Neurospora crassa OR74A: one gene and its partner. The protein of the gene in region 1 interacts with the protein of each later gene in a biochemical or structural test. Links are inferred from orthologs where the notes say so. Each region holds a gene or a part of one and is shown in the gene's direction. Other genes may lie near its edges.

Region 1 (11,475 bases):
CGCCCTTCTTCACAAGGACGTTGCGGAGTGACTTGAGCTTGACGGGGTCTTCAATACCAGCCTTCAGGGCCACATCAACAGCATCAAGTACACTTGCCAGCGCCGGCTCACCAATCAGGAGCACTTCTTCTTGGTGACCCTTGAGTAGCTGAATGAAGGGATCTGTGTGGAACGTGAATTTGTACTTCTGCTTCGGCGTACGATCAGCGTGGCGGATGACAGATACCACACCCTTGAGCTTCCAGCTAGGCTTCGGGGGAGGCGGCGGCGGTGTCTCCTCATGCTCATGCTCCTGTTCAGCAATAGCGACAGAAGTGAGCGAAGGGGTAGTGGGCAGCGTTGATGGCGCTGTGGGTGGTGCACTCTCTCCGTACTGACTGTTGCGCGGGCTGCTCGGCTTGGTTGACAGCTTAGAGACAAGCGAGGTATCTGACTTGACGTGCGGTGGCGCATCGTGGTGTCTGGTGTTGTCCGACCTCTGCTTGTCCAAGCTCACCTTACCCTGGGCTGCCGCCAACGCGCTGAGTTCCTTCTCCTTGTTCATGAGAGCTGCGCGAGCGGCAAGAGGATCAGGCACCTCGGAGATGGCGGGAGACGGGCACGGCGAAGGTATTCCACCCCTGCGCTGCCTCTCGGCGATAAACATTTCCCTGAGGATTTTGGCGCACTGGTTGTAATAGTCCTCATTATCTTTGACGAAACTCCAGCCGTTCACGTCAATGACATAACTCTTGCCCCCCGCCCGCAATAAGTCGAAACCGCAAACGCGTTGTCCGAAGGCTGTGCTGATTTTGCTCGCAATTTCCTTTTCCTCGTCGCTCAAGGCTGTGACATAGCGGACCTCTTTTCCATGCGTGTTTCTTCGCACGACGCCGTCCACAACAGGGGACTTGCGAGTCTCAGCGTGGCAGTATGTTGGCCCAACAGTATACGCTTTCACGTCCTCGGCATTGTCGACCTGCATGAACTTTTCGTAAATGAAACTCTCGTCGGGCTGAGTGATGCACCTGGGCACGTTGAGATCCTCCACATATTCACTGCTCTTGTTGCCGATCTTGCGGAAAAGCTTCCTTGCACCACCGCCAGCGTAGGAAGGAAAGTAGATGATGATATTGTGGTCTTCACCGCTCGTAGGCTTCTCGACAAACGGCTTCTTGATGAGCGTTCCGTCGACAGAGAGAACATCGCCGTTTTCGAGGAGCTCGATCTTGCGCGGCGCGACCTGCTTGGCGTACTCTGGATCCGTATTAGTGGGCTCAAACTGTACACCGCTGACGTCCTTGATGAGCTTGCAAATTTCGGGGGTCAACAGGTGAGGGCCACCGTCCCGGTTCACTTCGATGCGCTGAGGGGTGGGGACATTGATGCGGTCCAAGAGGCGAAGGCAGAGGCGGCGGTCCCATAGTATCTTTTGCATAGGGACATCGTTAACGCAGAAGGGCTTGCGTGCCTTGACGTAGGCGATGGCCTTGTCAAGGGGGAAGCCGTCCGAGTAAAAGGAGATTAAATAGTCGCACATGGGCCAGTTTTCGACCTCTGCATCACCACCCAACAGTTAGTCATTGTTCCTCGTCCATGATGATGCGGCAACAGCGCAGGGTCGACGCACCTTCATCAAGAATCACTTTGTCGCCAAAGACACAAACATCAAATTCGCCGTTCTGAATCAAGCGGTTGAGGATATTCCTGCTGGGCTTGCTCCTCGCCTTCACGTCCAAGGCACACACACCGATAACACCGTAGGGCGCAGGCTTGTGCTCCTCCTTGGGAGGCCGGTGTTCATGGCCTGATACCACTCTTTCACCATTGGGACTCTGATTTCCGCTAGCAGCGGTACTACCACTGAACCTGCGCTTTGCCCTGCTCCTTGACCTGGGTGGAATTGCGCGCGGTGTGGGTGGTGCGGGTGGTGCGCCGTTAGCAACAGCCGTGTCCACAGGAGCAGGAACACCGTGGCCGTGGGCCTGCGAAGTATGGTGATGGTTTCCCCTGCTCTGGCCATCCTTGAGCAAGTCGCCCATCTGCTGAAAATGCGATTCCCGCGGCGAGAGCTGGTGGGTGCCTGGCGCGCCTTGGCTTCCCGTGGTAACGGTGGTTGTCGAGACGCTGGCTTCTGCAGTCTGGGCGGTGCTGGCAGGTGGGATGGCTCCCGATTTGGAGGGGGCGGAGGAAGACATCAAGCCTGATACCACTCGGGCAGGGCCGGTGGCGCCGCTGGTGCTGCCGCTCTCGGAACTGGGAACCCCACGGGCCGAAGCTAGAGAGTATATGGACGAAATACTCTTTCGCTTGTTGCTGTCTGACTGGCTGTACTCGAAGCCAAAGAAGGACGAGTTTCTGCGGCGGGAGTGGTAGGGGTATTCGCGTTGGGTGGGAGTAGTGGGATTCTGCAGAGCGGGATCGGGGAGTTGGCGTTGTTGTTGTTGTTGTGGTGGTGGTGGTTGAGGTGATTCGGCGTTCGTGTTACCGGTCCCGGGGCGTAGACGGGGAGTCTCCGAGTCTTCGATCGTAGCTGAACCGGACGGAATTAGTGATGACGGTAGTGGAGCAAGAATGATTATGACTCTGACCTTGATTCTGGCCGTTATCGCCGGCGGCCAAGGCGAAATCTCGGGGAGAAAACAGGGGTGGGACCGCCGAGGCGCTGCCAAAGCTGCCGGGCACATGTACTCCACCACCCAAGTCCGAGTATCCTTGGCTGTTATTTGCGTCGCTCCAGGCGTCCGAGATGAAGGAGCGGAACGAATTGGACGATTCGCGGCGGCTGTGCGAGAGCGAGGCGCGCGGGCTCTTTGCTAATGACGACGATGCTTGTGGCAGGGCGACGGGAGGGGGCATCGACACATTGGCGCGATCAGCATGAACAGATTGGCTGCCAGGCTCAGAGTACCTGCTCTTTCGGCTAGCTATGCTGTTGGTAAAGGAAGAGGCGAGACTGTGTCGTCGTTTGGATTTTCCGGTACTTGTGATGCCGCTGTCACTGGTGATGGGGATGGCGCCAGGGACTGCGATGCTCGACGACGGTGTGCCTGCCATGTCTTCGGCTTCTTCTACAGGCACGTCCAAGCCGCCGGTTGCTGCTTCTGATGTCGCGACAGGAGTGTCTGGGTCTTGGTCCGGATGAGTGGAAGAGGAAGCTTCGGAGGCGGAGGACGGCACGCTGTCGGCGGACACTGGCGTACGATCGAGGGAGGTGGGTTCGAGGTGTGCTTCCATGGCTCCTGCGGGAAGCTGCAGGTGTGCAGCCTATGGATTTATATATCGTCGGCGATAGCAGTGGCAGTGGTGATGATCGGCTAGACTATTGTGATGCCGCCCAATGGACTCGATGTTGGGCGTCGCTTGGATTGGGAGAAAACGGGGAACTGCACTTCTTATTTGGTGGATGTCTAGACTAGACTGGACAGCTCCTCAAAGCAAATAAAGGATAAAAGAAAAAGGAAAGAAGATAGAGGTTAGAGCGATTGGGCCCCAATGGCTTTCAAGGTCCCAACTGAACTAAGCAATTGATAACCGCAAGTGTTTCGACGACGGGAGATGGGGATGTCAATCTGTCTTTGATCCTTTTCTTCTTCCCTTTTCCCCCTCCCTCTAGCTCCAGATGGATGTTTCAGTTGTCATCCAAGCACAGCTCATAAGAACAACATGTAATCATCAAGAAAGCCATTGGTACACAACTGGACAAAGGTGGATAGCTTTGTGGCGACACGAGCAGAGACAACAGCTAGGTAGGTAGCCCAAGTTGGGATGATGCCCAAGCGTTGTTTGCGCGGGGAGGGAGAAAGGAAAAAAAAAAAAAAAAAAAAAAAAAAAAAAAAAAAAAAAAAAAGAAAGAAAGCAAGAGGGAAAGGCGGCATGTGGGCAATTTCCATAAACGGACCCGGTAGTACCTACTAGTCCCAATTCTGAACGTCTACGTGTAAGTGCATCTGGATCCCACCATTAGTTCATTCCCTTACACCGGAGTTTTGGTAGCTCATGGCAGAAAGGCTGGCACTTTCTCGGGTACTACATGGCCATCAACCGAATGAATGGTCGTTAGAATACACTTTTCATGCTACCTTTGGAAACTAGACTAACTCTCAGGCAATTTTGCATGGAGAAATTCCCAGGTAACTCTGGCTGATGTCTTTTCGACTTTTTTTTTTACCATCCCTCTCGAAATTCTGTGATGGCCTTTCCTGACTAAAGCGAGCCGTGTTGGACTGTCTAATTCGGTTATATTTACAGCCACTTCGTCGTCATAACTGGAGGTCCAGTCTCTTTCGTCATTGGCGTGCTTGGATAGACACAGGAAAAAAAAAACCTCTCTAGTGATCGACAATGATGGACACCAAAGAGCCCATTGCGCGTTGACTACTGGTACCAGAAGGTGGGTGTCATGCCAAACTAAACCCTTGCTGGCGCCCTATGATATACTGCGATAGCCGCAGAGAAAATCCAGAAGAACGCTGAAGGTGGGTGTCATTGCGAACCGTATGCCGTGGTACCTCTATGGGTGGACGACCTGAGGTGGGTTCGATGGACGGGATGATGACGCCGCAGGCAACCTAGCATTTCGACGCTGAAGCGGACAGGGGATGGTGATGCTGTGCTGTGCTGTGCTGTGCTGTGTTTCACAAGCAAGAGCTTTTTCGCCCAGTTGGCGGGGCAGATGGAGGTGTGGGGTTTACTGCAGTTTGGAACACAGTCTCGACTTCTGCGATGATGGGAAACGGTAATCCCGGTAACTGAAAGGCTGCAAAATGCGGCCGGGATCGCAGGAGGTTCCTACTATGCAGTACACAGATACACAGTGCTGGATTTAAGCTCTGTGGGTCCTAGCCAGACGGTGGTCCCACATGCGTCCAGCTTTCATGCTACCCCACATGGCGAGGCAGACCAATCACATGAAGCTCCCACTTGCCTGCCCCAACCGACCCCAAACTGTGGCTGAAAATTTCTGGTCCACCGCGACAAGGCTACTATTATCGAAATCTTCAAACTGCGACTTTCAACAAGGCTTTGCAACTGAAAGGCATTCGCAGACATCGTGGTAGTTGGCAGCATATGCCACTCGACGACATGATGCCGCATTCCGATCGCGAAATCACATCCGCCAAGCGGCAGAAGCTCAATGCCTCTGTCGTCAAGTCCAAGGCGCCTCAGAAGAAGAAGAAGGGTTCCTCCATCTTTGCTCCCTTCAGAGTACGTCCCTAATAGCCGGTCGCATGAAGTCCTCAAACTAACACCAAACTCACCACTCATAGACTGTAGGCTTGGTATCTCCAACAAGCGTCCCCTTTACCTCCATCCCTCTCGGCAAGACCACCTTCCAGATCACTACCTCGGTCGGCCGCTCCCTCCAGACCTATGACCTAAAGAGAGGTCTCAATCTCGTCTTCGTTACCCGCCCCCAGACTCCCGCCGACATTACCGCCACATATGCTTGGAAGGAAAAGGTATTCGCCGCTTGGGGTAACCCTCAAAATGGCGAGGCCCAAGGTATCTGGGTTTATCAGCGCGGAAAGAAGGTAGCCGAGCTTGAGCTGCCCGCCGACCTCAACCAGCCCATCAAGCAGATCCTCATCTTCGGTTCCTGGATTGTTGCATGCGCCCAAACCCGCCTCGAAGTATGGAAGTCGGCCACCCTCGAACACTACACGACCATCTTTTCCGTTGCCGCAAAGAAGGGCGACAACGAGCTCACTGGTGGCGTAGTCAACATGCCTACCTTCCTCAACAAGATCTTGGTCGGTCGCAAGGACGGTTGGGTAGAGATCTGGAACGTCAGCACCGGCAAGCTCATCTACACCATCCTTCCGCCCTCTCCCGACGCTGGATCTGTCACCTGTATGGAGCCTACCCCGGCACTTTCGCTTCTCGCCATCGCCTACTCGAACGGCCCTCTCGTCATCCACAACGTCCTTACCGACAAGGCCTCCCTCAAGTTGATGGCCGGATCCGAACACGCCCCCGTTACAAGCATCTCCTTCCGAACCGACGGTCAGGGTGCTGGTCAAGATGGTACAAAAGATGGCGTCATGGCTACCGCCACAAGCATTGGTGGAGATGTCACATTCTGGGATCTCAACAAGGGCGGCAGAGTGATGGGTGTACTCCGGAGCGCCCATAATCCCCCATCACACACCGACAAGACTGTGCGCGGAGGCATCAGCAAGGTTGAGTTCCTCCCAGGACAGCCCGTTATCATGACCAGTGGTTTGGACAACTCGCTCAAGTCCTGGATCTTCGACGAATCGCCCTTCTCGCCCGTCCCCCGTATCCTTCACATGCGCAGCGGCCATGCCGCCCCCGTCAACTGCCTGCAATTCTTGCCAACCGATTTCGATGGCGCCGAGGCCGGCAACAAGTGGCTTCTCAGTGGTGGCAAGGACAGGAGTCTGTGGGGCTGGAGTTTGCGCCGCGATGGCCAGAGCTCTGAGCTCAGTCAGGGTGCTCTTCGCAAAAAGGCCAAGAAGGTGGGTATTCTTGCTAATACCGCCCTCGGCGGCCACGGCCCGACTACATCTTTGGACGACCTCAAGGCTCCCGAAATCACATGCATCGCCTCCTCGCTCAACCGCGATGGCGGCATGGGCGCTATGCCCGGTAGGCAGGTCATCTGGGACAAGGGCAATGACAAGAGCAAGCCGACCAAGTCCGAGCTCGCTGCTATGACCGGCTGGGAAAGCGTAGTAACAGCTCATAAGAACGACCCCTGGGCTCGCACCTGGTTCTGGGGCCGCAAGCGTGCTGGTAGGTGGGCGTTCAAGACCGGAGATGGCGAAAATGTTTCTACCGTGGCTATCAGCCCTTGCGGCAGTTTCGCTCTTGTTGGCTCCGTTGGTGGTAGCTTAGACATGTTCAACCTCCAATCCGGCCGTCACAAGCAACGCTTCCCCTCCCGACTCACTCCCGCCCAGATGCGCCAGTTGAAGATGCAGCAACTTAAGGCTCTCGACAAGGTGAGCCAGCTCGAGAAGCGCGCCTCCTCCAAGACCTCCTTTGCCCCCGGCTCGGGCAAGCACACCAAGTCCGTAACCGGCATCGTGGTCGACCCGCTAAACCGCTTCGTGATTTCCTGCTCTCTCGACGGCACCGTCAAGTTCTGGGACTTTGTCACGGGCAACCTAGTCGACGAGATTGACTGGGCGCCCATGGTGCAGATCACGGGCTGTCGCTACCACGCCGGCAACGATCTCATCGCTTTCGCGTGCGACGACAATTCGATCCGCGTTGTCGACATCGAGACCAAGCAGACCATCAGAGAGTTCTGGGGCTGCCGCGACACCATTAACGACTTCACCTTCTCCAACGACGGCCGGTGGATCGTGGCCGCCTCGCAGGACCGCGTCGTCCGCGTCTGGGACCTGCCGACGGCTCACCTCATCGACGCCTTCCGGCTCGAGAAACCCTGCACCGCCATCGCCTTTTCCAACACGGGCGAATACCTCGCCGGCGCCACCGAGGGCGAGCTGGGCGTGCACATCTGGACCAACAGAACGCTGTTCAGACACGTGCCGACCAGACAAATATCCGAGAAAGACATTGCCGAAATCTCGGCCGGACCTACCAGCTCAGGCGAGGGCGGTCAAGGTCTCATCGAGGCGGCCTTTGAGGATGAACAGGAGGACGAAGAAGATGAGGGCGTGTCTGCGCCGGTCCTCGATCAGCTCAGCGCCGACATGGTGACGCTCAGTCTGGTGCCCAAAAGCAGGTGGCAGACGCTGCTGCACATTGACCTGATCAAGCAGCGCAACAAGCCCAAGGAGCCGCCCAAGGCGCCTGAGAAGGCGCCCTTCTTTTTGCCTTCGCTCCGGGATGGGACGACGAACCCACTGCTGTTGACGGAGGGCGAAAAGAAGGATGAGGAGGAGAGCCGAATTTCGAAATTGACGCAACTCGAGACGACAAGGACGTATCAGACGTTTACGGCAAAGTTGTTGGAGGGTGCCGAGACGGGTGATTGTAAGGTTTTTTTTTTTTTTTTTTTTTTTTTTTTTTTTTTTTTTTTTTTTTTTTTTTTTTTCCCTTTCTTTTATTACTTCCCTTTTTTCATCCGGTTTATTTTACTAACCATCACCGTTTGATAGACACCCCCTTCATCACCCACCTCAAATCCCTCTCCCCCTCCACCGCCGATCTCGAACTCCGCTCCCTTTCCATCGGCGGCCTTGATCCGGAGTCTTCTGAAGATAGCAACGAACTCCTCCACTTCATCCGCGCCATGACGCAACGCCTCGCCCAACGCCGCGACTACGAGCTCACGCAAGCGTGGATGACGGTCTTTTTGCGACTGCACTTTGACGTGATTATGGAGAGCGAGACGCTGCTGAAGGAGTTGGGCAAGTGGAAGGAGCAGCAGGAAAGGGAAAAGAAGCGGTTGGATGATTTGGTGGGCTACTGTGGTGGTGTGGTTGGGTTCTTGAGGAGTCCTAGGACATAACCATAGACATGGGTCCAGCTTAGTCTAGATGAGGGATGGGAAAGGAGGGAAGGAAAAGGGAAGGGAAAGGGAAAGGGGAAGGGAAAGGGAAGGCTTGCATGATGGCTACCTATGAGCGAGTGAGTAGCTGTAAAAGTCGGTTGGGATTGTGGAACATATGATATGAGCGAATCCGATCTATTTTTGATAGTATTTACATTATGGGTCTTTTTTTTTTTTTTTTTTTCTTTTAAACAACTAGCCCATGTTTATCTCTTATTTGCTAGGATGGATGGATGGATGGCTGGATGAATGGGAAAAATTGGGATAGATAAAAAGTGTTATCGACGTATACCTAACCAATACCAGTACATCTATCTCTCTTGTCATGTCACGTCAACTGAATCTACTATGGTACTTCCTAACTTCCTCGTCTGAATTTGTAAAACGGTTCGGTTCCCTATGAAAGGTATGGTACCTAGATAAACGCATTGCGCGATTAGAATTGTTATGTATATATTGTTGTTGTTGTTATTCATTATAAAGCTGAGTGAGTGGTTAGGTCTGTCTGTCTGTCTGTTTGTACGAGTCCCACCACCGATGTTTCGATATCAAACCAGATGAAATACACGTATCGGGATGGTTACCGACTGGATGCAAGACATTTATTGCGCTTGATGAAGTAAGTAACTTAAGTAAGATACTCTCGTCGATCGAGTTATCGATCGGCTATGAGTTACGTTAGATACTTACGTGGTGCTTGGTAAATGGTAGTACGGCTGGGTCCCTTTTTTTTTTTTTTTTTTTTTTCCTCATTTCAGGTAGTCAATAAATAACAGAAGTTTCTCATCCTCCCTCGTTTTGTCTCAATTATCTCGAGACCTTCTGGAGGTCGTTGTCTCTATGTTTTCAGTTTTGCCGACCGTCACCAGAACCGACCGCGTAACATCGGATAGGTAGTTTGTGGTATCACGGGATGATGCCAGGCAAAGTTAGGAAATAATTCAACGACAGTATAAGACATAGACTATGCTAGAAATGCTAAATACGCAAATTCAAAGATAAATTGCTGTTACTATAGCTGCCAATCAGTGTGTCTGTGATTTGTTTTGATTTATATGTATGGGGGGAAAACTTATTATGACTTCGAGTTCAGTAGTGCGTGATGACTTGTAATAAAGACAAAATTTCTCCCACCACCCAGCATCATCATCACCCCACCTCTCACAGAAGCTCCCTTCACTTCCACCCACTTCCTTCTTCCGTCGCTGACCCCTCTTATGACAACCAAGCAAACACGCAAAATACTTACACACAAAAGAAGGAGAGAGAGAACGTTGGGGCAAAGAAGAACAGCTGCATGCAGCAGCTGTAACTTCAAAGAACCTGATCTTTTCTCAATGCCCGCAGCCTTCTCACCTTGCAATTACCACTCGCCAAAACACCAAATACACTACCGATTCCACTGAATCGCTCGACTCTCCTTGCCTCAGTTATGGACAGACTCTCCTCAGAGTTCAGCGTCGTCAATGGCCCATCACCGGTCGATGAGGAATCCTAATCCTAGTTCCCTCCCTCCCAGCCGACCCAGCTCCTGGGCATGACTCTCCAAATCTTGACCTCACCACTCCTCAGATCATCAAGCTTGAAGCTCTCGACCTTGACCTTCTTGCTCTCTCTACCCTGCTCCCACACTCTGACCTTCTTCTTGGTGCCATCCCACTCGGCCACGATACCGACGTGGTCTGGCTTACCAACCTCCATGGTATACTTGGCATGCATGGCGCCGTGCTTGCCCTGGAACTTGGCGTTTCTGACGGAGATGATGTCGCCGGGGCGGATCTCGTCGTTCTGAGTAGTGCTCGCGTTGGCCAGGTTGGAGTACACCAGGGCGCCATAGGCGCGCGTGCCGACGGGCAGGAGGGCGTCCTTGAAGGGACGGAGGAGCTCGTAGATCAGTGCTTGGGGAGTACCGTCACCGACGACGGTTTCCTTCTTACCGGACACGGCCTCGCTGATAGCCCGTCCGAAGCGCTCGTAGCTCTGCTCAAGCTGGTCTTGACGCAGGGTGCGGGGAGGGGGTTCGTGGCGCTGCTCAAGTTCGACGTCGGACGGGTCTTGAGAGTTGAAGCGAACGGTGATCACGGTCTGGGAGTAATCCTGGAACAAGACGTAGATGTCCCGGGTGACAATAGTCTTACCAGAGTGGGGGTCAGACGCGGTAGACTCCTCAGACTCAAAGAGGATGTCCTTGCGTCCGTGAAGAGGTGGGGGGAGGCTCTTGGGCTGTAGCCACCAAGTCGACTGGCTGGCCAGGTCGATGTCGTTAGCAACGAAGCCTGATTCCATTGATGGCCGCGTCAAATCTACAGACCGCCGCAAATTTGAACGCGAGGTATCCATCGACTGCCGGGTCGACGGGCGGCCACTACCGGGCGGCGCCAGGGGAGGAGCCCTTGGATTTTGAGGGGTCCCGTGGAAAGGGGTCTCAGGAGAGTATGGCTCAGACGGAGGCGAATTAGGCAAAGGGAAGGACGGTATCGACGATGATCCGTGAGTCGGCGAAGAATAGTTGTAAGGGTCGAAGTCTCCTTCCCCGTATCGAGGCATCTCTTGCGTCGGAGGAGGCGGAGGGGCCGCGCGTGGCACGTCGACAGACTTGCGGCTTTCTAGTGGAGACATGAGTGGAACAGGAGGGGGACCGGCTCTCGGTGGTGATGTCGGGGGAAGAGGAGGTGGGCGGGACATGGGCGAGCGTGGCGACGCGGGCCCGTCAAAACTCGTATCACGTTGATGAGACTTCAGCGCATCCTTATGAGGAACAGAGGAAGCAATGTCCGTATCGTAATCCCCTTCGTACTCGGTAATCTCTTCTTCCACTTCTTCATTGTCATGCCCCCTTCCAGGAGACAAATGCTGGCGTTGATGGAAAGTATCCGTAGTCGGTGTTCTTGGTGGCGCTGCCGGGGGAGGCGGAGGAGGAGCCCGGCTCACCGGGACCATACCGGGAATCGGAGGAGGCAAGCGACTTTCACGCTGGGCTGACGGTGAAGCAGGGGGCAGCGGAG
Region 2 (3,600 bases), on another chromosome or scaffold:
CACGGCAGTATCTTGGAAGCTTTCTGATTTCCTTATTACATACTTGTGCTTCCCTTTCCCATCTCTTATCTTCTCTCCTTTTCGAAAACGTCAATCTGAAGATCTTTTCATCCATACGTTAGGTTAGTTAGCTGTCTGTCTTATCCAGGATACGCCCAGTTGCTGTCCGGTCTACTCCTTGACAAGTGCATTTTTCTTTTAGCTCCCTTCGCATTCCAAGGACTTGACCCGCCGAGATCGTTGAATCACATTGCTGAGAATGACACAATCATTGTCTCTCGCTGTGTTTGCAGCTGCGGCACTTTTTGCGACTAAGGGTCTTGCGAGCAACTTTACCGTTAGCAATGGCCAGATTTTCACCCCTGGTTTTGTTATCGTCGATTCCCCCCAGCCGGACACGCCTCTTGGCGGAGGTTAGTACTATTAGTACCCGGCTGGCTGTCGGCAAAGGACTTGAGGACTTGCTACTAATAAGCTTCAACTTGTGTAGACAATGTCGAGATTGCGCTCGATGTTTCTGCCAATGGCAAGCTTCCTCTACCGCCCTACGGCGACGACGCTTCCAGCCAAATCTACAACATCAACATCTTCCTTTACAGCTACGTAACGGGCCGAAACTTGACCATCACCAACGGTACTGCGTCGGCCAACAATGCCACACTCGGTGATATCATGCTCTCCGAGCCTGGTAGCACCGTGAAGCATGTCCGGTGGACATGGCCCGACTGCATGGTTGGCGATGGTACGAATGGGAACGATCGTGGCAGTTACAATGTGGGTTTTCCAAATAGTCAGCTTAAGAGTGTGTTGATAGCCATTTCACTGACAATTCAAAAGATCTCCATCCACCAACGCTTCAGACTCAATGGCGAGAACCACTACACGATATTTGATCTTCCCGTCTCTGTGACCAACAGCATCAGCAAAAGCGACGACCGCCCGTCTTGCCAATCACTTGATAACCCGTTACTGGCGCCCGAGGACATCGATTGGACAGACACTAACGAACTCGGCGCCCTCTTTGCTCCTGGTGATTCGACGGTTATTGAGACGTCGAATGTTGGTAGTGGTGCTGGGCTGGCGAGCTGCAAGCATGCACTTAACTTGTTGTGTGTGGTGGGCATTAGCTGTGCTCTGTTGTTAAGCTAGGCTCTAGACTTGCTTGTCGTCCAATAATCAAAAAGGTGGCTGTGAGATGACATAGAATCATCTGCAAGGATACCAAAACACCACGTACTCTTCATGCATATGTTCTTTTTGAAATCATATATTTGCTCTGCGTGGCTCATAATTTTAGTACTAGTTCGTGTCTGGTCAGATTTATTGTCTTCGAATGAGTTCACATAAAGTCATCTTCATCACAAAGATATTGTTAATGAAAGTAGCATTGAGGCATCAGATAAGTTTAATATATGTTTATTTTTTTACTTTTTTTTTTGTAGGGGTACTTCAAACTTATTCCTTGAACAAGGCTGGCGTGCTTGTGATAGCAAGTGGGTCCAGATTAAGTGGGACAGGATCTGCGATCTGCAAGGCTGATAACGAAAAAAAAAGTTCCCAACCTCAAAACAAACCAAACACTAGCGACTGGTCGTGGCATTTCCGTCCATTTCAACTCCATTTAACCAGGACCGGATCTCACAGCAAAAGTTCCCGTTACTGGGCTTTGCGCAATCTCCTAAATCAGAACAAAATGGCGCCACAGACGAAAGACGAAGTTTCCGACGACAACGAATTCGTCGGATTCGACGAGGAGAGCGATGAGGAGATGCACGACAATGATGGCATGTCAGTAGACGACGACGACGAGGACGACTCCGATATGGATTCAATTGCCGACCCGAGGAAAAAGTACGATATTGAAGAGAAGGACTCTGACGAAGAAGACCTCGAACGATTCGTCTTGGGCAATAACGACACCTTCCGCGCCCAGCTTTTCCGCGACGATTTCCTCGCCGATATTACCGATTCCAAGGCTCTCATTAGGACCGACAAGCAAGATGACACGACTGGCCTCGAACATGTCGACGATAACGCCCTCTTCGCGTTCGATACTGGCGTTCCCGGTAATAAGAAGCAGACAGAGGCCGCGCCCTCTGCGCTAGAGGCTTACGAGCAGAAGGAGGACCCCCCAGCGTGGGAGGACAGCGATGACGAGCGGTTGACAGTATCCCTTGCGGCTGCCTCGCGGTTGCGCAAGCTGCGTCAGTCCGAAGAGGAGGATGTCGTGAACGGCACCGAGTACGCGCGCCGCCTGCGCTCGCAGTACCTCCGACTATACCCCCTTCCGGAGTGGGCCAAGGAATCCTCGGCCGCCAGCCAGCGCCGGAGGAGAAGATCTTCAGCCGCCGGTTCCTCCTCCGAGGAAGACAGTGACGCCGAAGACGACATCGAATCCGCCCTCCCTCTCGAGACCTTCCTCCGCGACGTCAACTCTTTCAACGCCAGCGCCGATGCCCGTGGCAGCAAGCGCCGCAAGCTGCGCCCCGAGACCATCGACATTCAGCGCTCGCGCGACATCCCCGACATTCACAAGCAGTCCGTCAGCTCGTTGTCCTTCCACCCCAAGCACCCCATCCTGCTCTCGTGCAGCGTCTCCTCCATCATGTACCTACACCAAGTTGACCCGACCGCGCACCCGGTTCCGAACCCGGCCCTCACGTCGGTGCAAGTCAAGCGCACCGACCTTCGGCGCTCCGAGTTCCTCGGTCCCGATGGCGACGACGTCATCTTCGCCGGTCGCCGGCGCTACTTCCACAGCTGGAACCTCTCGTCGGGTGCCGTCAAGAAGATCACCCAGATCCAGGGCCACCAGCGCGAGCAGCGTACCATGGAGCACTTCCGTCCCTCGCCCTGCGGACGCTACCTGGGGCTCATCGCCTCCGAGAAGAAGGGCGGCGGCATGATCAACATCGTCAACGTGCGCACGATGCAGTGGATTGCGCAGGCGCGCACCAATGGCCGCGGCGGCATCTCCGATTTCGCCTGGTGGGGCAACGGCAACGGCCTCTCCATCCTCGGCAAGAACGGCCAGGTCACTGAGTGGAGCATGCTCAGCCGGCGCACGGTCGGCGTTTGGCGCGACGAAGGATCGATCGGCGGCACGGTGATTGCGCTGGGCGGGCAGAAGGGCACCGGCCCTAGCCAGATTGGTGGCGATCGCTGGGTGGCTGTGGGCTCGAATAGCGGCATTATGAACATTTACGATCGGAATGATTTGGTTGAGCCTGTTAAGAAGGAGGGTGGTGCGTCGGCGTCCAAGGAGGAGACAGTGCAGATTAAGAGCATCCCCACCCCGCAGAGGACGTTTGAGCAGCTCACGACGCCCATCTCAGTGGTGACGTTCGCGCCGGACGGTCAGCTATTGGCGTTTGGTAGCTTCCACAAGAAGGACGCGTTAAGGCTGGTGCACTTGCCTAGCTGCACCGTTTACAGGAACTGGCCTACGGAGCAAACGCCTTTGGGTAGGATCACTGCTGTGGCGTTTAGCCACCAGAATGGTGGTGATGTGTTGGCGGTGGGCAATGATGTGGGCAAGATTAGGATGTGGGAGATTAGGAGCTAGATCTGCGCATTGTGTAGTGCGTTGAGTTGGCGATA

What was found. The genes of interacting proteins can lie anywhere in the genome.
Region 2: the proteins of NCU07011 (region 1) and NCU03018 form a complex in vitro, tested with the Saccharomyces cerevisiae proteins (2 studies listed by BioGRID, with this or other methods). The link is inferred for Neurospora crassa OR74A from reciprocal best matches to the Saccharomyces cerevisiae genes UTP21 and UTP18.

Annotation. Positions count from the first base shown.
Region 1 is NC_026504.1:4,894,826-4,906,300, forward strand, and holds NCU07011 (WD repeat containing protein 36), read left to right. Parts: upstream 1-4,985; 5' UTR 4,986-5,049; coding exon 5,050-5,187; intron 5,188-5,249; coding exon 5,250-7,950; intron 7,951-8,075; coding exon 8,076-8,428; 3' UTR 8,429-8,786; downstream 8,787-11,475. Other genes in the region: NCU07010 (cortical actin cytoskeleton protein asp1), read right to left, coding at 1-1,536, 1,610-2,512, 2,571-3,216; NCU07012 (hypothetical protein), read right to left, coding at 9,971-11,475. UniProt on the Saccharomyces cerevisiae protein: Involved in nucleolar processing of pre-18S ribosomal RNA and ribosome assembly.
Region 2 is NC_026501.1:8,426,037-8,429,636, forward strand, and holds the start of NCU03018 (small nucleolar ribonucleoprotein complex subunit), read left to right. Parts: upstream 1-1,407; 5' UTR 1,408-1,693; coding exon 1,694-3,565; 3' UTR 3,566-3,600. Other genes in the region: NCU03019 (hypothetical protein), read left to right, coding at 260-413, 491-774, 838-1,149. UniProt on the Saccharomyces cerevisiae protein: Involved in nucleolar processing of pre-18S ribosomal RNA and ribosome assembly.